Linked DNA regions of Drosophila melanogaster. The protein of the gene in region 1 interacts with the protein of each later gene in a pairwise test. Each region holds a gene or a part of one and is shown in the gene's direction. Other genes may lie near its edges. The genes, in order: CG15124, Rpt6R, CG17648 and CG32756.

Region 1 (5,282 bases):
TTAGCTTGGTAGCTTATATTTGTGTTATTGAAGTAATTACAATATCAAGATGATTTCAGTTCACTAACAAGTATGTATGAAGGAATTATCTGGCATTTCTGAGGCCATATTTCATTATGGAGAGCCCTGCAGCTCGTTTAAGATTTGGCTATTAAAAACGGCGCCATTGATGCGAATATTTATTGTGGCCTGGCTTTTTCATAATGTTGGATTATCTAGGCACATGTCCTGCCAGGATTTATGAGCCAGGAATAGCACACAAGAGGTTGAGAGCGACGCTGCGGGAGGGTTGGCCAAAACCAAAACCAAGAGTCAGCTTTAAGCCGTAAGGAAATTGAAATCTTAAGCTTTATTGTTTTACTGGCCCCTCGTCTTTGCCATTCAGCTGAGGATCTGTGTGTGCTCGACGCGACGCATGCAAAGTGAAGCAGGAAAGTGAATAAAACTGCAGCAAAAGCAATTTTCATAAATATTTAATGGATAATGGCGAAAATAAGCGCAAGGAGCAAGACACATCGGCATGATGAGAGGGCAGGGAAATGGCCGTCCGTCTGCTTCTACCCATTCCCACTACCATTTTCCGCACCATCTCCGTTCTCGATGTATTGTTTTGTTTGTGTAGATATATATGTGCCCCTCTCATACAGGCACTTCACCCACCAACCCACCGTATTGATATGTCAGCATAACATATGTGGGCATTTCCCCGAGTGTGTGTTCGGCAATCTCAGCTTTTAGTTTCGGCCCAAGGCCCAGTGATTCTCATTAAAATTACAACACAAATAAAACGAAGAGGGAAGGTGGATGAGTGGTATCGACTTTTTTGCTTACCTTGTGATTTATTGGCTTACAAGAATTGCTTAAAAGTTGATCATTTTTTTTAAATTTTGTCGATTTGTGTTTTATAAACTACAAAAATTAGTTAGGAAAATAAGTGAAATGCCATAATGATTTACAAAATAATTGAAATATTATTTCCGGAAATCGGCATAACCAAAATGTTAGATACTCCTTTTGCCTGCCGATTACAGCGTATGAAAAGCCGGCGAAATGAGGGTAAAATTCACGCGAAATGGAGCAGCCAGCGAACGTGAGAGCCCGTCCATTGTCTTTATCCTGGCGCTTTTCTGCTCTCTGTTGCTCCTCCTGGTCGCTGGAGTCCTTTAAGTGTGCCCATTACAGACGGCAGAAATCATAACAATAAAAGTGTGACGGGACGGAAGGACAGAGGCGGTTGGCGGCTGGCGGATGGGCGACGGGCTGTTTGGGGGCCAGATAGCTCCCCCCACTTAATCGATGATGATGAATAATTGATTCGCTGCGATGCGCCCAAGCATGGAAATGAAAATGTCGGTGCATGCGGGGAGCGGCTTTCTGCTTCTGTTTCTGTTTAAGTTTCGGTTTCAGTGCTTCCCTTTTCGCACGTGTGTGTATGTGTGCCTGTCTGTGTATGTGTGTCGGCGTGTCCTTCTGTGTGTAACGAATGGCAAATTTCAGGAAGCGGAAATGGCAATTGCAAGCGATGGGAAAAGGCAGCAGAAAGACAACGACTGAGGCAAATGTGAAGTTGTGCGCTAAATGAAATGCCAACACAGCAACACGGCCGTGCAAAACGGAAATAGCAAATGCGAATGACGCTGGATCGTTGGACGGTTGGCTGGCTGGATGGCCGAAAAATGGTGTTGGGCGGGGGTCTTGGGATGACAATGGGTGTCCTGGGCAGAATGGGCAGACAGGTGCCAAGGCAGACAATTTGCCGGTATTTAAATTCTATTTTAAGTTCTGTTCAAGCGCGTCAGGAAGCAAACGTAAGGAAATGGTTGACCGTGAATGGTGGACACGTTTCCCACTAATATGGCTGGAAAGCTTAAGGCTTCCTTTTATATATATGATACATATTATTTAAAATATAACCATAGATTTTATAAAATATTATAAATATTTTATTAACACTCATAATATAAATTGCTTAGTTTTGTTTACTCGCCACACTCATTGATGTAACAAAAATGACAAGTAATTTTGAAGTCATTTCATTTTTCATTTGCTTGGGATTAACATTTTTCTTAAAGGACTTTGAGCGTGCATAAAAAATTATCTTTAGCACCATAAAGAACTATATTCACTGCAATTTAAAATGAAAATAAATCTGATCGGGTTAAATGAAAATCGACTCCAAAAGAAAAAATCCTATTTCATCAAGGAATATTCTCTTATTTTTTCTTTTGAATAAAGTTTCCTTTTCCATTTGACTCTTCACCGTCGTTCAGTCAGGGCTTTTTTTCCCCAGGCTACGTGTTTAAAAATATAATCGTATTGAATATTTAAATGCTCGCCAGGGCAAAAGTCGCCAAATACGCTGGCAAAACTGGACGGGAATCAAAATCAAATGCAATGCCTGCGGCTTCGGCGAATGCTGGCTGCCTGTCAGCCTGGCACAAAATTAGATTTAAATATTTTGGCATTTCCCATCAATTTTCATATAATGCAACCCCATCCTTTTCGCTGGGATGCAGGTCCTGTTGCATGGAGGAATGCTGATAGTGAGTGGGATTCGTCTGTGGCAAGTCATTCCAGCCCTACACAAGCGCACACATCGATGTGGATTGAAAGACAGGCGCACACAACCACACATGCTCAATCATTTATGCAGCAATCAGTGCTGACGTCTTTTCCACACGTACGATTACCGGCATAGAGAATCGAGCCCTACTCTCGGTTATGTGGAGCATATTGGGAATCGAAATTGAGTGCGGGTTAACAATGAGGCAGTTGAGATTGCGGCAGCTTCTCTCGAACTTCTGTTGCTCGTGAGTTTCTTGAATTTAAATCAATGGCCCGGGCATCCACTGCGTATGAGTAATATTATACAAGGATGAACAGGTAATTTAATTTAGCTTTTCGGAACAATTTTTTGTTCACAGAATGCAATCAAAACATGTATGAGATAATATACATTTAAACAATCGTTGTCGAATTATTTATTTTATCATGATCCCTACTTTTTTATAAATTGACAATCATTTAAGTAAACAATCCTTTCAGCAAAACAGAAATAACTCCTTTTTCAAGGTGCAACCGTGAAGGACGACTGCACAAAAACTCTATTGGATTATTTGAAGGTTGAAATCAAATTAAGTCAAGTGAATAAATTGACTTTTAGTGCATATAAAAATCGCAAAAAGCGCAAATAAAAATGAAATAAAATTGCGATGGATAAAAAGTTTAAAAGTGAATCCATAGAAATTCATCGTTTGCTGATGACGAAACATGAAAAAAGGAAACTTAAAATTGGTTATATATACGAAATTAACAAGGGAAATTAAACGATCACATAGCAAAGCATTTTTTTGGAAAGTAGTCATTGCATATATTGCTTTCTGAGAAACTTCGTATAAATTTAAATTATTAAAATAAACCGCTAGAAAAATAAGTTAAAATTTGATATCAATTAGAATGGATAACGACAATATGCTCGACTTTACAGACTTAATCAGCTGCAAGGACTTACCGAACATAACTCTGCACAATATCCGTCCCATTTACAGTATAAAGGTTTTCATGTCCGAACCTAAAAACTCCAATGTCTCTATTGCTGAATTAATCAAACGCCAGGAAGTGTCTGCAGAGCAATGTCGCAAGGCACTTAAAGTCATAAAGGACAGACTTCTTCTGAAAATGGCAGCGTTGCAAGAGCTTAAGAAGTATCTGCTGGATTTGCATTCGGAGATCAAAAAGCCCGGTGCAGGGACTCGTTTTGTGACCAATCAGGAGAAAGTTAAATTGCATTTCCTAGACGAGACGGAAATCAGAGAAGTCGAATTGTCTGACGCCGTAGAACGTTGCAATATAAAGCTGAGCTCGCTTTATTGCGAAATCCTGGCTTTGGACAGCGACATGGGCAGTGTCGCCTATTTGGAGAGGGTCGCCCAGATCAACAAAGACTTTATCATGGATTGGCATAAGACTCAGAGGCAGAATAAGACAAGCAACATCCATTGTTCCGGCCAAGGCGTCAAAAAGACTTTTTAATTTGGACTGTTTTAAACTTTACATGTTTCACTCATATGCAATTATTATCGCACTATTCTGGAAAATAAATATTTATCGCGAAAGCAAATACAAAATGTTTTATTACACCTCTCCGAGATTGAATAGTTGAATTTCCAGCAATGAAATTAGCCTTAAGTAATGTGCTCCTCTCTTAAATCCTATCCCTAGGAATCTTTTTTCCCCCTCGACTTTTCCTGCTTCGTGTCCTTCCGTTTCCCTTTTCTCCGTTTACCTGTCACTGACAGCCCGCTGGCCGCTTCATCTTCATTCCCCGTCCATGAATAATCCCTGCGACACTTGCGTTTCATGGCTTTGCATAGTTAGGACCTGTTAAAGGAGGGACCTGGTCCTGGACAGTGTGCTCAGGCATCTCCTCTCTTAGCCAGCGCTTAGCTGGACCTGGGGAGTTGAATCTGTAGCTGCACAGCAAAAAAAATTTTAAAGGTTTCAAAAAGATCTCAAAAAAATGTCCCAAGAGTTTTAAACTCTATATAGAATAGTCTTGAGTTACGTGTCCCGTTCAGGTAGTATTTTTAATACCATTTGCTGGCAAGTTACTAATATTTTCTCTGAGTGTTCAGTTAGCTGGGAACCGGAGCAGGAAGCCAACAACAGGTTGCGTGCCAATGCAGTTTTTCATCGTGAAATGTCGGCGCTGATAGCGATTGTAATTATTATGCTGAACTGCGGGTATGTATGTATGTATGCAAGGGGATTCGCTTTTACGAGAGGCAGAATGGTTCTATTTCAGGTCCTGGCCACTCTTACTTGTTTCCCATTCTTTTTCCGTCTTGTTGCTATCCACTCTCCGACGCATAAACACCGCTAGTTATGCAATAAATAAAATGCAATTGTTGCGTCACAAAAGCTACATAGATGGCAGTGCGTTGGTCAGAAGGGGGGATTGGCTTTTTGGCTCTGGGCTTTTGCCGCCATGTTTGCGAACAACAGCAAGATGGCGCCCCGCATCCGTTATAGCCGAACATCCAATTCCGCGCTCACTTTCGCTGCCTCAGTTGCTGGGCGTCTGCTTCACTTCCGGTTGGAAAAGTTGTTGCATTGTGTGCGTTTTCGTGGAGGTTCCACATCCGCTTTACCAGCTCTCCCAGCTACTCTAGCTTACTTGGCACCGCTTTAATTTGACAAACCATCGCATTTAACGGCCCGGCGTAGTTTATGCTCCTCGAACAGGCAGCGACATCAAGGCGAAAGGTCAAGGAGGTGGCATA
Region 2 (6,068 bases), on another chromosome or scaffold:
GGAGGAGCAGGGTCCCGATGAGAGCTGCCTGGAGGGAACTCAAAGCTGTTGCTCAAACCTCTGGTCCAACATCTTCAGGAAGAAAACGCTGTACAAGCGATTCCCCATCCTGGTGTGGCTGCCCCAGTACAAAAAGGATTATATTTTCGGTGACATAGTGGCGGGCATTTCGGTGGCCCTGACGGTGATACCCCAGGCCCTGGCCTATGCCGGAATAGCAGGACTGGATCTGCAGTACGGCCTGTACGCCTGCTTCCTGGGCTGCTTCATATACATATTTATTGGGTCCAGTAAGGATGTGCCTATTGGACCTACGGCCATATCAGCACTGCTGTCCTTTCAAATCGCTGGAGGCAGTTGGCAGATAGCCACCTTGCTAACCTTCCTCACAGGTCTCATTGAGATCCTGATGGGAGTTTTCCGGCTGGGATTTCTCATCGATTTCGTTTCTGGTCCCGTGGGAGCGGGATTCACGAGTGCCGTGTCCTTGATCATCTTCAGCTCCCAGATGAAGGACTTCTTGGGCATCAAAACAAGTGGCAACACCTTCCTGCAAGTGTGGATTAGCATTGTGAACGATATACACAACATCAGCTGGCCGGACTTCATCTTGGGAATCGTCTGCATTACTCTGCTCCTGAGCCTGAGAGCCCTGGCCAGTTGTACCCTGGGTCCCAAGGAGGGAAAAACCACAGCGCAAAAGCTTCTGACCGGCATTTTCTGGACCATCGGAACTGCCCGCAATGCCCTGCTGGTCTGTGGAACTGCTGGCCTGGGTTACTGGTTGTTTGTCAACGGCAAGGAGAATCTCGTGAAGACAGTTGGCTTTGTGCCCAAGGGATTGCCCTCCTTTCAGCCACCACCCTTCCACATGGATGCCGTTGTCAACGAAACCACAGGAGAAGTCCTTCAGGAGGCCCAGAGCTTCTGGGACATGGTCAGCACCCTGGGATCTGGGCTCATTGTGGTTCCATTGATTGCTCTTCTGGAAACTATGGCCGTTGTTCAGGCTTTCGGTGAGTTGTCCGCTTATTTGATATCGTCATTTTCATGAGTTGGATCTCGTTCTTCCCCAACGAGTTCAAGAATCTTCAAAATTCAAGTAGGATATGAATCATCAGTAATTGGTTTATATTTAAAGCTAATTTTAAATCGGATTGACGAAAGCAACGAGTTTTTGTTTATAACCCTTATACCCTTATAACCCTTGTTGTCCCAAATTAGTGTCAACTTTTGAATGACACGTGCAAATATTAAAATAGGTCAGTCGCTTTATTCCTTGGGGAAGAACATATTGTTTTGCTTTCGAATTTCATTTGACTGGATTGTAATATTTTCCCCGTTTGGTTTTTTCCTTTTAGCTGATGGCAAACCCACAGATGCCACGCAGGAGCTGATAGCCTCTGGAGTGTGCAACGTGGCCAACTCCTTTGTCCAGGGTCTTCGGAGCAATGGCGGCATCGCCAGGGGAGCCATCTTAAATGCCAGTGGAGTGAGGACCCAGCTGTCCAATCTCTACACCAGCGTGATAGTGATTATTGCCCTGTTGTACCTCACGCCCTGCTTTTACTACATTCCTAAGGCGGCTCTGGCCTCCATTATTATTGCGGCGGTTATTTTCATGGTCCAGTACCGAGTGATCAAGCCCATGTGGCACAGTAAAAGTGAGTTGAAAATAAATAAACCACACTCACATGTTTGTTACCATACGTGTGTATTTCTCCTGCCACAGAAACCGATCTCATTCCCGGCCTGGGTGCCTTTTTCGCCTGTCTGGTTCTGCCCCTGCAACTGGGCATCCTCGTGGGCATCGGCATCAATGTGGTCTTCATCCTCTACCAGGCAGCCCGGCCAAAGTTGCGCATCGAAACGCTGGCGGTGAGTCATTCCATCCGAAGTATCTCAATCTATACCTAGAATAGCTTCAGTGGCTGAAAGTATGCTACAGATTCTTAAGATTCGGATGGCATTTTTATCTCATGTTCATCTTACTGTAGGAATTAATATACTGCTAGTTGATATGCCATAGATGATTCCTATGATATTAATAAGCCGACCTATCTTTATAGACAACTACTGGTCTGAAATACCTAATGCTAACTCCCGATCGCTGTCTGATCTTCCCCTCGATGGAGTTTGTGCGCAAGGTGATCAACAAGCAGGGTCAGAAGTCCACACTGCCGGTGGTCATCGATTGCACCCACATCTATGGAGCGGACTTCACGGCCGCCAAGGTGATATCCACCATGGTGATGGACTTTAAGCTGCGGGAGCAGCCGCTGTTCTTCTACAACCTGCAGCCGCGAGTGGCGCAGGTCTTCGAGGGTCTGAACAAGGATCTGGTGGTCATATACGATATTAACACCCTGCACGCCAAGCTGGCGGAGAAGTCGCCCCCGATCTGAGGGATCCAAAGAAGTCCGAAGGGGGAACAACGCTGCAACCTCGTTATGCGATAGTCTTAGCCCAAGTCTAGTTCGTAGCTTAGTCTCTGTCCTAGACCTAGTACTAGCTTAGTCTTGCCACCGAGGCCAGCGACTAAATCTAGATGTGGGCTGCCCACGCTCATCGCCTTAGTTGAAGGTACCATTACCATTCCACGGCTAGCCCAGCTCACCTTAATTAGCATTTAAGATGTGGCAATCTTCGCAGATATCTGCACAATATTATTTATTTGGCCTCTAACGGCGAAACGCTGTGAATTCCAGAGTCAGGGCTCCTCCCACCCGCGATTTTGCCGCTGAACATAGTATTATTTTCGGGTAGCGAACGGCGAGTTTTAGCATAAGTACTTAAATAAATCAAGTAAATATAAAATAGTTAAGTGGCGTTAAGAGTTTTACTTGATTGGCCAAGAAAGTGGAAATAAAACACTCTCATTAGGTATTATACGTTGTTACCAACTACTGGCTTTATTAAAGATTTATTCCAAGATTGATAGACTTTATATCTAAACAACATCATGATTTCTGGGTGTCTTTAATCTCAAACTATGCTGTGATTTTATTTGGTGCTTCGTGTGGGAAGTAAATTTTTTGGTTCGAAGGCATCAATAACAAGAAAGCATTACTCGAGATAAGATTGAATGAATATGTTTGACACCTATAATAAAATAATATTTACGAAACGTGTGGCAATAATACGACTTATCTTAAAATTTTTAGTCTGTTCAAGAACCCTTAAGTTAAAGTGTGAAATGAAGTTTCCATCCCTAACTTGTCAAAATTTCCCAGCACTGCGTAAAAACTGTCGTCTCATCAGCCGGATTCAGTTCGTTCAAAAAAATAAGCAAAATTATATCAATAGCTCGGGAAGTTGTTGAGCGCTATACAAGGAAAGAAATAACAATTTGCAGTTCAACGTAATAAATTACTAGCTAGCCTTTTTTGAAGTGATTTTTTTTTCCAGAAGAAATATTAATTTTACCAGATGAGCAAAGACGTAGGAATCCCAGAGGGTTCCGAAGGCTTTCATTCATATTATACGCAGAAAATATCAGAGCTTCAGTTCACTGTGAACGAACGCCAAAAGAACTTGCTCCGTTTGCAGGCTCAGAGAAATGAACTCAACCTCAAGGGTAAGGTTCTTAGAATGAATATATCCTTTATAAGATTATCCTGCCTTATCCACAGTTCGCTTGCTGCGCGAGGAGCTGCAGTTGCTCCAGGAGCAGGGGAGCTATATTGCGGAGGTTGTGAAGCCCATGGACAAGAATAAGGTCCTTGTGAAGGTTCATCCCGAGGGCAAGTATGTAGTGGATGTGGACAAGACCATCAATATTAAGGATGTGACACCCAGCAGCAGGGTGGCCCTGCGAAACGAGAGCTACACGCTTCACAAAATTCTGCCCAATAAGGTGGACCCATTAGTATCCCTTATGTTGGTGGAAAAGGTGCCCGACTCCACCTACGAAATGGTGGGTGGCTTGGACAAGCAGATCCAGGAGATCAAGGAGGTGATTGAGCTGCCTGTAAAGCATCCGGAATTATTTGACGCCTTGGGCATTACCCAGCCAAAGGGAGTGCTCCTCTACGGACCGCCTGGAACTGGGAAAACCCTGTTAGCCCGAGCTGTAGCCCATCACACGGAGTGCACTTTTATACGGGTTTCAGGGTCGGAACTGGTTCAGAAATTCATCGGCGAGGGTTCGAGAATGGTAAGGGAGCTTTTTGTGATGGCTAGGGAACACGCTCCATCCATAATATTCATGGACGAGATCGACTCGATTGGTTCCGCTCGACTGGAAACCGGAACGGGGGATTCGGAGGTCCAGCGAACCATGCTGGAGCTTCTGAACCAACTGGACGGCTTCGAGGCTACTAAAAACATTAAGGTGATCATGGCCACCAATCGCATCGATGTCTTGGATCAGGCATTACTGCGTCCTGGTCGAATTGACCGCAAGATCGAGTTTCCGCCACCAAACGAAGAGGCCAGATTGGATATCCTGAAGATACATTCTCGCAAGATGAACCTCACCAGAGGCATCAATCTTCGCAAGATTGCTGAAGAAATGCCGGGGGCTTCTGGTGCTGAAGTCAAGGGTGTTTGCACCGAGGCGGGAATGTATGCTCTGAGGGAAAGACGGGTCCATGTCACCCAGGAGGACTTTGAAATGGCCGTCTCCAAGGTAATGATGAAGGACTCCGAGAAGAACATGTCCATCAGAAAGTTCTGGAAATAGCTTATATAACTAATTTTAAAACATTTGAAAGCTCCATTATCAGACTGAATATAATAGTTGATATAAATAATACAAGTTTTGTAGTATATTCTTGATAGAAAAGGACAGGAGTGTAAAAACAAAGACTTTACTCAAGTGAAACTACTAGATTAATGTTCGTAATGGTATAGATATAACTTAGCTAATTTTATTTGGGCGTTGTAAGACTAACTTCTAGCTAGTGAAAGAGTGCTGGCCATGCTCACGCATTCACTAGTTCCGTTTCCGGACTCGGCGTGGTCGAGTGAGTCCACGGACCTCGAAAGATCCGGCTCGTCGGGCCGGAGTTCCTGGTTGAGGGCATGGGTGTTGTAGCAAAGCACCAGCCTCGTGTTCAATCCCTCGAAGACACTCACTACACTGGGCTTCAAGTTGAAGAATATGATCTTTTGCTGACGCCGGCGGAAGTCGTCCACAATGGAGGATATTACTTTGGCGGCTGTGAAATCCGCAGCATAGATATAGGTGCAATCGATGACCACTGGCAATGTGGATTTGCTGCCCAACTTCAGTACCATATTTCGAACAAACTCCACCGAAGGAAAGATCAGACATCTGTCGGGGGTGATCTTCACGAATCTGATACCTTGTTGGGTTTCCAGTTGCTCCAGCGTGACCTTTGGCCTGGCTGCATAGTACAGGATAAAGAGAAGATTCACACCAATGGCCACCATAATTCCAATTTCCAGGGGCAGTACCAAACAGGTGACGAAGGCCAGGATGCCAGGCACTAGATCGGAACCTGCAACGTTGAAGGTAACTTAGGAATATAAATACTAATCAAGGAAGTCTCAACTCACGTTTGCTGCGCCACATGGGCGTTACGACCTGGTACTGAACCTGGAAGATCACTGCCGATATAATAATCGCTGCCAGCACCGCCTTGGGAATGAAGGCGATGTATTCGGTGAGAAAGTTCAGGGCGAGCACTACGATAACACCGATGTACAGGTTGGACATATTGGTGCGACAGCCACTGGCATTATTCACCGCCGATCGGGCCAATCCTCCATTGCATCGATATCCTGAGAACAAGGAGGTAGCAATGTTGCCGACTCCACAGGCAATCATTTCCTGGGTGATATCTATCTGTTTACCCTTGGCGAAGGCCTTGCAAACCGACATGGTTTCCAGTAGGGCCATTAGGGGAACGATAACTAGTCCATATCCCAAGCTCTGCACCATTTCAGGAAAAGTCTGTCCCTCAACAGCAGGGATCCCAGCTGTTTCGTTGCCGGGCTGCGGTTCGATGGAAAACGGAGGAAGTGAGGGCGTGGGCATTCCCTTGGGAATATTTCCAGTTAGTCTGAAAGGATTCGTTCCATTGGCATCCAGGTACATGGTA
Region 3 (4,689 bases), on another chromosome or scaffold:
ATAAATGTTAAATGACACACAAATCAATATTAATATCAAATGCAAATCAGCCAATTAATAATCTCTTCCTTTGCGAACGGCTTACTAATATTTGAGTTTCCCCATTTCAGAGCCTCTGCACCGCCATGTACATTATCATCAGCGTGCATCTGACTGGAAACGATGCCACGGACTCATTCCGGATCTACTACTTCATGCTGCTGGGCATAATGGCCTCTTTGAGTGCCCAAGCCTGGGGCTTCTTCGTGGGAGCCACGTTGCCAACCAAGGTGGGTTCAACACTCGACCAGCTAACTGAGAATCGAATTGGTAATAACTAATCTTTCCGCCTCAGCTTGCCGTGTTTCTGGGACCCATTCTGGCGGTGATGTTCTCCGTTTTTGGATTCTGCACGCGCTACATCGACATCACGCCCCTCTTCCGATGGATGTGGCACCTGAGTTACTTCCGGGCCGGATTCCACGGGGCGTTGAACGCCATTTACGGCATGGATCGACCCTTTCTGGAGTGCCCCGAGACTGCGATGTATTGCCACTTCCGCAGCCCGAAGGTCTTTCTCAAGTACATGATGATATCGGATGTGCACATGTCCGACTGCCTGATCCTCATGGGCATCGTGATTGGAGTCATGCATGTGCTGACCCTCATCACGCTGTGGCACAAGCTCAACAAGCGATAAGATACCATGGCCAATGTTTGGTCCATGGCTGCAATCCTTTTGTACATAGTCGGGTGTCTTTCCATCTCTCCTCGTTTTAAGTTCCAAATTCGAAACTACCCTTTTTGTGTTTTTACAATTGATCGACCGATTCGATGTTAGCTTAGGTATTTATTTAAATATTCTCTGAAATATTGTACGCAAGAAGGCTTTAGGGTAGCTTAAATCCAGTTTAAGTGCTGATATACCAAAAAGGAAGATCAACTGCAACACAATCTCTATAACCCCGTTTCCATCTTGCCCTGTAAACACAATACTTCATCCACTGAGCTGGATCTCCGCGAAGACTCCAGCTATGCCAAGTCTTGAATATTCATCTACTTCTATAAGGTCCGCTACAAAGATACTTTTGTGATCAATAATTTGTTTCGTCTCTTTAGTGATTAGCTTTAGTTTTAGCCCTAAGTTCGAATTACTTGTATATGACATATTTCGTTTAGTTTGTGTAGACAATTTTGTTTTTAAAATAAAACGTTTGGTACATTTGATGACTTCTTCTCGTTCCTTGCTATTAACTATCATGAAATGTTTTCTAGCTAATATAAATATAAAGTCTCATGTCTAACAAATCAATTTTATTAGTTGCAAAATGCTGATGCCGTACAAATAAGTTAAATACATTGATGAAGATGACGCCGGCTGGAAAGCCTGAATCTTTTGAACGCTTAAAGACTAAACACGTACATTATATAAAAAATATATAGTGGAATCATTCATATATTGCACCTATGTAATACAGACTCCCTCACATTGTGGACATGCGTGCATATCGAATTATCTGGTCGTGATTCAGGGGGCTGTCGGTGGACAGCTGAACCCTTTGCCACTGCCTGGTCTCGTTCGATTTCCGGATGGCCTCAACCACAGCCTGAACGTAGAGGCCGTCCTCAAAGGTGGCCGCTGTGGAAACTGGAGCCTTAACCCAGGAGGACTCCTTGCTGCCGAAGGCTTCCTTCAGAGCGCCCACCATCTTGCAGAGTCCTTTGATATATGGTCGTGGTAGCAAAGAGTTGTTGGTGGCGAAGTGCAAATCCTGGACATCCACGTAAACAGCTTCCTCTTTGGGTTGGCCCTCCTTGAGGACAAATAGGTCGCCGCCGCGGACCACCAGGTGTCCTTTGCTGCCATAGATGAGCACTTCCTGCGAGAAGGCTTTTGCTGGCACAGTGTGACTGTGCAGGGCCACTGTGACCAGCGTTCCACTGGCCAGTTCCATTTGGAAGTTGCAGAAATCCGGAGCCGTAATTTGTCGAATGCCATTGATGGCCGGTGTGGTTTTCGTGTAGGATCGTAGGACTCCATGCACTCTTATTGCCTGCTGTTGCAGCAGAAAGGTGACCAAGTCCACCACGGATCCCACGAGATTCAGGGCACCGCCGCCCATTTGCGCATCGCACATCCAGTTGTACTTCTCGGGAAAGAGCGTTCCCATCTGGACGCGCACATCCATGAGTACCACGTCGCCAATAGAGCCAATTAGCTCCTCCTGCAGACAACGACGCATATGTGTAAAGGCGGGCAGGAACCTCAGCGGGTGATTGACCAGGGAAATCAGAGTGGGATAGTACTGAGAAGCCCGAACCATTTTGAGTGCGTCCTGCTGGTGCAATCCTGCTGGCTTGTCGCACACCACATGCTTCCCGATGCCCAAGGCCTTCACCGAGATCTCCGCGTGCAGAAAGGGCTGGCACACGATGAACACCAGATCCACATCCTTCCGCAGCAGGACATCGTCGATTACGTTCGTATGGAATTGTACATTCTGCGTGGTCGCAGTCTCTTTCGCCTCTTTCAGGGTCCTGCCCCAAATGGCCCGCACCTCGAATCCTTTCTCCCGCAGCAGCGGCACCAGCACATTGGCTATCTCTCCCGTTCCGAACACTCCAACGCCCGGCAGCATCGCTCAAATTGGATAAAACTCTATAAAGTTAAGGGAAAATTCCAATGTTTATTTTTTGGTGGCCGACCAGGGCTGCCACATCGCTTAAACTGCGGGCGTGAACAGCTGTGGCTATCGCAGCGATATATCGATATGTGTCTGTCAGCTATTTTCTAGCTAAATCTATTTAAAATATTTAAAGCTTTTAAAAATAATATTAAACAAAAGAGTTTGTAAGCCAAATCAGTGGTGGCTATTGAGTTAATTACTAATTTATGTAGCCTTGAAATATTTAAACTCAATTCATAGCAATCGTAACGAACTTTCAAAGCATGATCTAAATTCGCTTTCGAATCATTTAAAAATATCAAATTTCAAATGATTTCGATTGCTCAGTTGCTGACCTCTTTTACGGCCGGAGCCTTGGCCTCTGCACAGGCGATTCGTTTTCTAAAAACTGCCAACGAGGAGGAGTCGCCGGCCAAAATTTCAAGCCAGCTGGAAACTGCGGTCATCGATGGACTGGCCACCGAGCAACCGAAGATCCTGGGCTCCGAACAGATCAGCAATGTCATGCAGCACATTCTGAGCAGCGAGCGCAATGCGAGTGGCGTCTACTTGGACGCCATGCACAACCGAAGTGCCAATAAGCAGGAGTACGCTCTGGGCTCCGAGTCGCTCAACCAAATGCTGGAGGACATCATGACCCCCGCCGGGAGTGTGAGCAGCAGGTCCTTGTCCATGGAACCCGCCGTCGAAGCCTAGAAGTTTCTAAAACTATTTTTAAAAAATACTTTCTTTTTTCTCTGCTTAGAATCAAATGAACCTGTGAGATTAGGCCAACAAAGTCTATAATGCTTATCTTCTTATCCGTGCCAATCTCAGTTTAAAGACCTCCTTGCTGTCCACTCAATTAACTAAGCCAGAGTCCTTTGGCTTCCATTTCGAGTGCGGTCTCCAACTCCCCATATCCTTTGCCCGTTGCCCCGTTTTCCCCCTTTTCCACCATATACCACCACATGTGGCCCGCTTTTCGACCCTTTGAGCCATGTGCGGTATTGCAGCTGTCAAAGCAGCCGGCATGCGGAAAATGATTCTGCAGCTTATTACAAGCTGGCAACTGCGAGTGCAAACGGCGGTGGAGTGAAGGACTTACTGACGACTGGGCTTATGATGCACTGAGCACAATTAGGGGTTCAGACTTCCGAACAACTATCAATATTACGGGATTAGAGACTCCAGTTTGGCTTTACTTTTGGAAGGTAGCCCTTCTGAAGAATTTGCGTACTGAGTGAGCTTTTTCTCTCAGTGTACACCACACATTCGTGTGGGGGGCTGTGTTTGTGCGGGCGAAGGATGTGGACGGGCGGACATAATGCAAGCATTGGCAAGCCATGGCAAACAAATGTCACAGTCGACGCATTGCCCTGTCATATGGTAACCCAATTAGTGTAATTTGGTTTAAGGCAGCTGCCGTCTGTCTGCCCCACCCACATCCATGTACACCACATGCCATATACCATATACGCTCGATCCCGTCTTAATTAAACCACAAAGTGCACAGCGGCAGCGGGCAAACAATTAAATTTAAAGCAAACCCAGCGGCTCCGGCAAACAGCTAATGAATGCTGCTGCTTTCGACCTCGGGGCACCAGATATTGCCACAAGTTATGGCGCCATCAAAGGTGCAATGGAAGTGGGTGACCCCTAAAGGGAAACCCCCACCCAAGGCGGTGGACTAGCTCTTCAGATAGCTCTTGAGTCGGAAGGGGCAGGTGTTAAAGGTAGTTGTTATTCATCACCTGTTAATCGTAAAATAACATCGCACACCAATTGGATCTGTCGAATAACTCCAATTAAATATCCACTATGCTGTGCCACATAACAGCTTAATGGCTTTAAGTAGCAGCCGCAAACTAGCTTTCTCTAAACCAATTAAAATTTATCAGAGCCATCTTGGGAATGCTCCAAGGCCGGACAGACACAGCTTCTAATTGAATTCTGAATGTTAATGGCAATATTGATTACACTTGCTGATCCGGGCTTAGTTTATCCAGACTTTGTCAGACCGCAGGACTCCTGGGGCGCGGGG
Region 4 (7,190 bases), on another chromosome or scaffold:
CCAAGAACTATAATAATTGGTGCCATTATTCCCAAAGTTGTATAGCCAAATGTTCTTGAACACAATGTCCACGGCTTTGGGACTACGGGTTCAGATACCCCTTCTGCTAGGGATTATCCATGCCAAGGACAAGGAGCTGAACCAGTATCGCACCGAGGGATGCCAGCTGCGCAAAGGTTAGTTAAGAGCAAGTTTGCAAATCGAAAGTTTTTGTCCATTCCATTCGCTTAGTAATCGCAAAACCTTATGCCTTCTTTAGTGACTGTGGAAACCAAGCCCTTTGATCTCGAGGCTTTTATGAATAAGCACAAGCAATTGCTGGACTGTTCCGCTGCCTACCAGAAGGCGCAGAGTACTTTTTTTGCTGATAAGCCATCGCCTAATTGGACATCGCTTTCTTCGCCATGGGCACGGGATGTCGCGCCCTATTCTTCGTCAAACGGCTACTTTGCTTCTTCGAAGGCATCAAGCCCAAAAGAAGCTCCTCGCATTAGGTGGGATTGGTACAATGTGTTCACATTTACCGATTAATAAGATATGTTTTCGCAATTGCAGGAAGCGCAAGGCTCTTGAAATCAATACCAATCATATGGAGCGCAAGGTAATGCAGCGCCGCTCCAATCCGCTTGTCGAGTACAAAAGCTCGCAGAGTTCCCAAGAGACAAACGTAAATTTAATCTTAAAAGTAGAGCTAGCGCCAATGGACACCAAGAATGATCTCACTGATGATGACGAAGAGTCATCCACATCTTCGGGGCTTTCCCAAGGATGGTCGGCCAAACTAACCAAATTTAATCCAACCGTCGGAAGTGGTGTATATGAACTTGCATCTCAGGAACAGTATGCTTCTTCTGAAGATGAGGATGCTTCTTCTAAAAATGGGGATACTTCTTCTAAATATGAGGATGCTTCTTCTAAAGATGAGGATGCTTCTTCCAAAGATGAGAATACTTCTTCTAAAGATGAGGATGCTCCGTCTAAAGATGAGGATACTTCTTCTAAAGATGAGGATGCTTCTTCTGAATATGAAGAGGTCACTAGGGAGGCATCGAACGCTTTCAATTTCGTCATAAAGAAGGTTGAATCTTTAAAAGAGTTTTACGATGCCCCAAGGGAACTCATCCAAGAACCCAAAGTCGGAAAGTCCGATCAGAATTGGGATTTAATTCTTCGAACTGTGCTGGAAGATATCAAAGCCGTACTGATTTACTCAACTGAACGCATCGAAAAAGCGATCCAGAGCTATATCAATAAGTTAGCGCAAAAATAATTTGGAAACGATCTCATTCTAAATGGTGCTACAAGCAAAACTTCACACTTAGTACATACGTTTTTTTTTTTTGTTTTTTTTTTTTTTTTTTAGATAAAAACAAGTCCTTAGTGATAAAAGGATAAAATACATGATTCCATTTGTTGATTAGGTATTCGTACCTAAGTCCATCGAACAGCAATCAAATGAAACAAAGAACTGTATAGTGTTGTAGATATTAAAAAGACGTCTTATCAAACACCCTCAGTACACGTACACAAACAAGTTGACAAACACAAATCCTCAGTGATAAAAGGATAAAGACATGATTCCATTTGTTGATTAGGTATTCGTACCTAAGTCCATCGAACAGCAATCAAATGAAACAAAACAATGTATAGTGTTGTAGATTTTAAAACGTCTTACCAAAACACCCTCAGTACACAAACAAGTTGAGTTCCATTGCATAGAAGCAGCAACTAACTCCTATCTCTATGGAACATATCGAATAATATTAAAATTTGTCAAAATGATTGCCCGGAAATTTTCTGGTCAATTATCGACCGATTAGTCAGGGCTTTCCAGCGGTTATAACCTCCTGATCAATGCATTTTATGTTAAATATTTTTTGGCACGATTACTAATAAAATTGATAAAAAAAGAAACGTTTGCAGTTTGAATAAATAATCTTTAAAGTTTGCCTTATCCCATTTGCTTTAGAAGCTTTCAGCCTTTTCAGGCTGATCTAGGATTACAACAGAAGGATGAAAGACAGCTAGACGAGGCTAGTTTTGGATCCTGAGTAATGCTTTCCTGAACCCTGAATTCCCACAATAATGTGTTGTTCCCATCGGTGGGTCACAACTATAACTGATCTACACATTTAGGATCTTATAATATATAATATAATATAAATACATGTCTATAAATACAACCGCGTGGATTAGTTAATTGAAATACGCACAGGCATTCTATCCATGCATTTCCCTGCAGAAAAAGTATTTCAGCATTGATCGTTTTAAGGAAAGCCCTGCGGTTACCTATTATACGTCCAGCCTACGCTCAGACTCTGTTGATGTGGCGTGAACACATAAAGGTTTAGGTACTACTTGTTTCATATTATAATAATATAATAACATTATAATATATAATATAATGCTGTTATAAAGTATATTTGATTTATACTTCTAATGGTTAGTTCAAATAGGTATAGAGTTACATCCCATTTTTGTTGGGAATCTTTATACATCACCATCGTTACCGCCAAAGAACAATCGATAGATTGGTAAGAATTCGATACCTAGACGGTACTATCGATTCTTTTTCATCTCTACGGCGTGCGTCAGTGATGTTTCTTTCCTTTGATTTCTGATCCTTCTAAACGTAACTTCAAAATGCTATTGAAAGTAGTGAATATAAATGGCTTGCAGCACCTGTTCGCCTGCACTGAGGGGCAGCATGATGAAACCCTAACTATTCACGTTTTCCGTCCTCGCGAGAAGTGGACTTACTCCGAGACTTTGATGAAACGCGATTACCAGCAGCGTTTGAAAGTAAGTTTTCCGCATTTTCATGTGGTGAAATAGTGTGAGTGCAACACGTTTTTTCGACCAGACGCTCAACGCGCGTGTGAAGTTTCCCGAGGAATTGGTGCGCCAGGTCCTGCTCAACAAGGATCCATTGCATGTCGAACAGGATTACCAGCACCCATTGAACGTCCTGAAACTGAAGTATGCCATGGCGAATTTCAAAGTTTTCCTCAAGTGGGAATGGCACCTGAGACCCATGGATGCCGCACAGGTCAGTAACTGACTTTAGCAGAATCAGTTCCAAGAACTATAATAATTAGTGCCATTATTCCCAAAGTTGTATAGCCAAATGTTCTTGAACACAATGTCCACGGCTTTGGGACTACGGGCTCAGATACCCCTTCTGCTAGGGATTATCCATGCCAAGGACAAGGAGCTGAACCAGTATCGCACCGAGGGATGCCAGCTGCGCAGAGGTTAGTTAAGAACAAGTTTGCAAATCGAAAGTTCTTGTGCATTCCATTCGCTTAGTTAGTAATCGCAAAACCTTATGCCTTCTTTAGTGACCGTGGAAACCCAGCCCTTTGATCTCGAGGCTTTTATGAATGAGCACAAGCAATTGCTGGACTGTTCCGCTGCCTACCAGAAGGCGCAGAGTACTTTTTTTGCTGATAAGCCATCGCCTAATTGGACATCGCTTTCTTCGCCATGGGCACGGGATGTCGCGCCCTATTCTTCGTCAAACGGCTACTTTGCTTCTTCGAAGGCATCAAGCCCAAAAGAAGCTCCTCGCATTAGGTGGGATTGGTACAATGTGTTCACATTTACCGATTAATAAGATATGTTTTCGCAATTGCAGGAAGCGCAAGGCTCTTGAAATCAATACCAATCATATGGAGCGCAAGGTAATGCAGCGCCGCTCCAATCCGCTTGTCGAGTACAAAAGCTCGCAGAGTTCCCAAGAGACAAACGTAAATGTAATCTTAAAAGTAGAGCTAGCGCCAATGGACACCAAGAATGATCTCACTGATGATGACGAAGAGTCATCCACATCTTCGGGGCTTTCCCAAGGATGGTCTGGCCGACAACTAACCAAATTTAATCCAACCGTCGGAAATGGTGTATATGAACTTGCATCTCAGGAACAGTATGCTTCTTCTGAAGATGAGGATGCTTCTTCTAAAGATGCGTATACTTCTTCTAAATATGAGGATGCTTCTTCTAAAGATGAGGATGCTTCTTCTAAAGATGATGATGCCTCTAAATATGAGGATGCTTCTTTTAATGATGAGAATTCTTCTTCTGATGATGAGGAGGTCACTAGGGAGGCATCGAACGCTTTGGATTCTATTAATGATTTTTACGATTACCCCCCGGCATTCACTCAAGAACCCGAAGTCGGAATATCCGAGGGGAATTTGGATGTAATTCATCAAATTGAGCTGGAAGAGATCAAAGCCGCACTGATTTACTCAACTGGTCGCGTCGCAGAAGCGATCAATAATCTAGAGAAAAAATAATTTGGAAACGATCTCAGTCTAAATGGTGCTACAAGCAAAACCTTAGCCTTAGTACATACGTTTTTTTTTTTTTTTTTTTTTGAGATAAAAACAAATCCTCAGTGATACAAGGATAAAAGACATGATTCCATTTGTTGATTAGGTATTCGTACCTAAGTCCATCGAACAGCAATCAAATGAAACAAAACAATGTATAGTGTTGTAGATTTTAAAACGACATCTTACCAAAACACCCTCAGTACACAAACAAGTTGAATTCTACTGCATACAAGCAGCAACTAACTCCTATCTCTATGGAACATATCGACTGATATTAAAATGCGTCCGATTAGTCACGGCTTTCCAACGGTTATAGCCTCCTGATCAATGCATTTTATGCTAAATGTTTTTTGTTAAATATTTTTTTGGCGTAATTACTAATAAAATTGAATAAAACAAAACAAGACACCCCATTTACAATTAGAATAAATAACCTTTAAAGTTTGTCTAATCCCAGCCAATCAACCAGTTACTGTGGTGTTCTGGCGTTACCAAATCCATTCCCTTTGGTGCCATTGAAATCAAAAACGAATTTTGCTTTGATTTGCCATTTGTTTACTTTTATGGCAGCCGATTCGAGCCATCGAGCTGTTGTCAATGTGGAGCTTTGGGGCTTTGGCAACATTCAATTTACGCACATTTGGCGATAAGATAAGCTAAAGGCAAACCACAAATAATATCAACTGGCCATGTGTCGGGATGGCTCATTGCGGTGGCTCTATTCAAGAAATTCGGTCGATAGTCAGTCACCTGTATCATTTCGAAATCCCATACTGCCAAGTTACTCAAGAGAGATGGCTAAAGTCTGGGCCATACTGGCCATAGCGCTATTTCTAGGAGCACTGGCCTCCGGCGAAAGTGAGTCACAGTTTGATCGCAATCAATCCAAATTACAGCCGAATAGTGATACGAAAGTATAGATTGTATTTACCTCAACAGAACGAACCAGTAAACGAATTATGGTCGTTTCGTTAAAAGTTATGTGAAAATCGAAGCCTAAAACTATTCAAGTTGGGTAAACCCCAACACTTCACACACAGAAGTTATCAATTTGCTCACATTTTTGTTTTGCTTTTTGTTGTGATAAATGGTTTGCAAAAGTGTTTGGTTATTACCCAAGATAAAAGAAACATATCATATTCCAATGTGTAAAAGAAACAATCAATAAGTGGTCAAATTCAACTGCTTTCGGATTTAAAAAAAAATTAAGTTTCAAAATGTTCAAAACAGCATTATAAATATGCCAAATTGGTATATGGTTATGGTAATTACCTTTTTCGATTTACTGGATATTTCCATCGCCATTATTGTAGAACAAAAGAACATTTTTTTCTATGACACTGACTAATTTTCGGAATTATCCAATTTCAAAAGGAGTGGCAATCACTTTACGTTCGATTAGATTGTCTTGTTTTTCCATACCGCCGAAGCGTTATGAACCGCTCACCATAAACTTTTAAAGTACTTTTTTGTTAAGACAACAATGCTAGGCTATCTCATCGCCCAAGATAAACATATTTATTATAGGTAGTTGACGAGTCAGTAAGGTTAATCAATGTCAATTGATGTTTATCATGGCCATCAGACCGATATTTAATCGTACATTAAATACCTATTTGGCTATATCTATTTCAGGTCTTTCAAGCGAAACGGCTGGAAAGATAGAGCCGAAGATCGTGGGCGGCTATGATGCGTCCATAGAACAGGTATCGTACCAGGTGTCCATTCGCCTCACCGCCAACGACAAGAAGAGCTATGGATCTGGTCACCTATGCGGTGGGGTGGTCATTTCCCAACGTTTGGTGGCCACCGCCGCCCACTGCTGTTACATGTGCGTACTGATCCTAGTACCTCTTTCATCACAATTTTCATATGCTAATAGATTCCGATTTCCAGCACCGACAAGAAGAAGTACCGAACTGCTGGCGAATTTGTCCTGGTCATGGGCAGCACCTACCTGACGAGCTCCACCGATCGCACTTTGATGTACTACCTGCAGCAGCTAATTACGCACGAGAATTATAATCCGGACGCGTTGACCAACGACATTGCCCTGATGTTCATCAATGGATATATACCCTGGAATTGGCCAACTGTAACGGCCCTGGCGTTGAACAGCCAACTTGTGGCCACAAACACCGATTGCCTGATCTCCGGATGGGGTCTGCTCCAGCAGGTGAGTCTACAAATGTTTTCCACTGTCAGATGGAATTCTATACCACAAGTATTTACTGATAAACTTATATATCTGATAAAATCTCTATAAACTTTCAGAACGGAACATTTAGTAGTAATACTCTGCAGGCCGCGACGGTGCCCATAGTGTCGTATACAACCTGTCGCATTTCATACAATTCGATTCCGGTTTCCCAGGTGTGCGCCGGCTATTTGAGTGGCGGAGTGGACGCCTGCCAGGGCGACTCCGGCGGACCCATGAGCTGCAACGGAATGTTGGCCGGAATCGTTTCGTACGGCGCTGGATGCGCAGCACCTGGTTATCCGGGTGTCTACACAAATGTGTCGTACTATTACGATTGGATTGTTCAAAAGAATAGCTCCCTCAACTATACCATCTATCATAATGGAGGAGTGCGGCAGGGATCGAGTTGGTCCTACCTGGGCATTCTTCCACTCCTTGTGGCCTTCCTCTTGGAACTCTGAATCTAGTCATCGCATAGGTCCGCCAAATAGTCAAAGACTAGATTATAACCTAATTTAAACTGCAATTAATTTATTAAATTAACTTACAATTCTATTTTTGACACCAAAGCATTTTGTATCATTACAAATACATAGCAAACATTTAATGGGCTGTCAGTTTTTTTTTTAAATTTCGAACTTTTTTTTGTGGTT

The links.
Region 2: the proteins of CG15124 (region 1) and Rpt6R interact in a two-hybrid assay, tested with the Drosophila melanogaster proteins (one large-scale study listed by BioGRID).
Region 3: the proteins of CG15124 (region 1) and CG17648 interact in a two-hybrid assay, tested with the Drosophila melanogaster proteins (one large-scale study listed by BioGRID).
Region 4: the proteins of CG15124 (region 1) and CG32756 interact in a two-hybrid assay, tested with the Drosophila melanogaster proteins (one large-scale study listed by BioGRID).

Annotation. Positions count from the first base shown.
Region 1 is NT_033778.4:19,639,582-19,644,863, forward strand, and holds CG15124 (uncharacterized protein), read left to right. Parts: upstream 1-3,365; 5' UTR 3,366-3,456; coding exon 3,457-4,032; 3' UTR 4,033-4,117; downstream 4,118-5,282.
Region 2 is NT_033777.3:30,580,885-30,586,952, reverse strand, and holds Rpt6R (regulatory particle triple-A ATPase 6-related), read left to right. Parts: upstream 1-3,255; 5' UTR 3,256-3,429; coding exon 3,430-3,577; intron 3,578-3,632; coding exon 3,633-4,684; 3' UTR 4,685-4,755; downstream 4,756-6,068. Other genes in the region: CG9717 (uncharacterized protein), read left to right, coding at 1-1,016, 1,362-1,664, 1,733-1,878, 2,070-2,405; CG9702 (uncharacterized protein), read right to left, coding at 4,891-5,465, 5,524-6,068.
Region 3 is NT_033779.5:1,749,408-1,754,096, forward strand, and holds CG17648 (uncharacterized protein), read left to right. Parts: upstream 1-2,900; 5' UTR 2,901-2,975; coding exon 2,976-3,362; 3' UTR 3,363-3,441; downstream 3,442-4,689. Other genes in the region: CG17646 (uncharacterized protein), read left to right, coding at 111-269, 335-679; CG17712 (uncharacterized protein), read right to left, coding at 1,464-2,618.
Region 4 is NC_004354.4:5,943,118-5,950,307, forward strand, and holds CG32756 (uncharacterized protein), read left to right. Parts: upstream 1-2,564; 5' UTR 2,565-2,643; coding exon 2,644-2,802; intron 2,803-2,863; coding exon 2,864-3,049; intron 3,050-3,115; coding exon 3,116-3,254; intron 3,255-3,341; coding exon 3,342-3,576; intron 3,577-3,637; coding exon 3,638-4,298; 3' UTR 4,299-5,131; coding exon of another isoform or gene 5,132-5,195; 3' UTR 5,196-5,236; downstream 5,237-7,190. Other genes in the region: CG12728 (uncharacterized protein), read left to right, coding at 38-176, 260-494, 556-1,270; CG6041 (uncharacterized protein), read left to right, coding at 5,132-5,195, 5,973-6,168, 6,234-6,513, 6,612-6,998.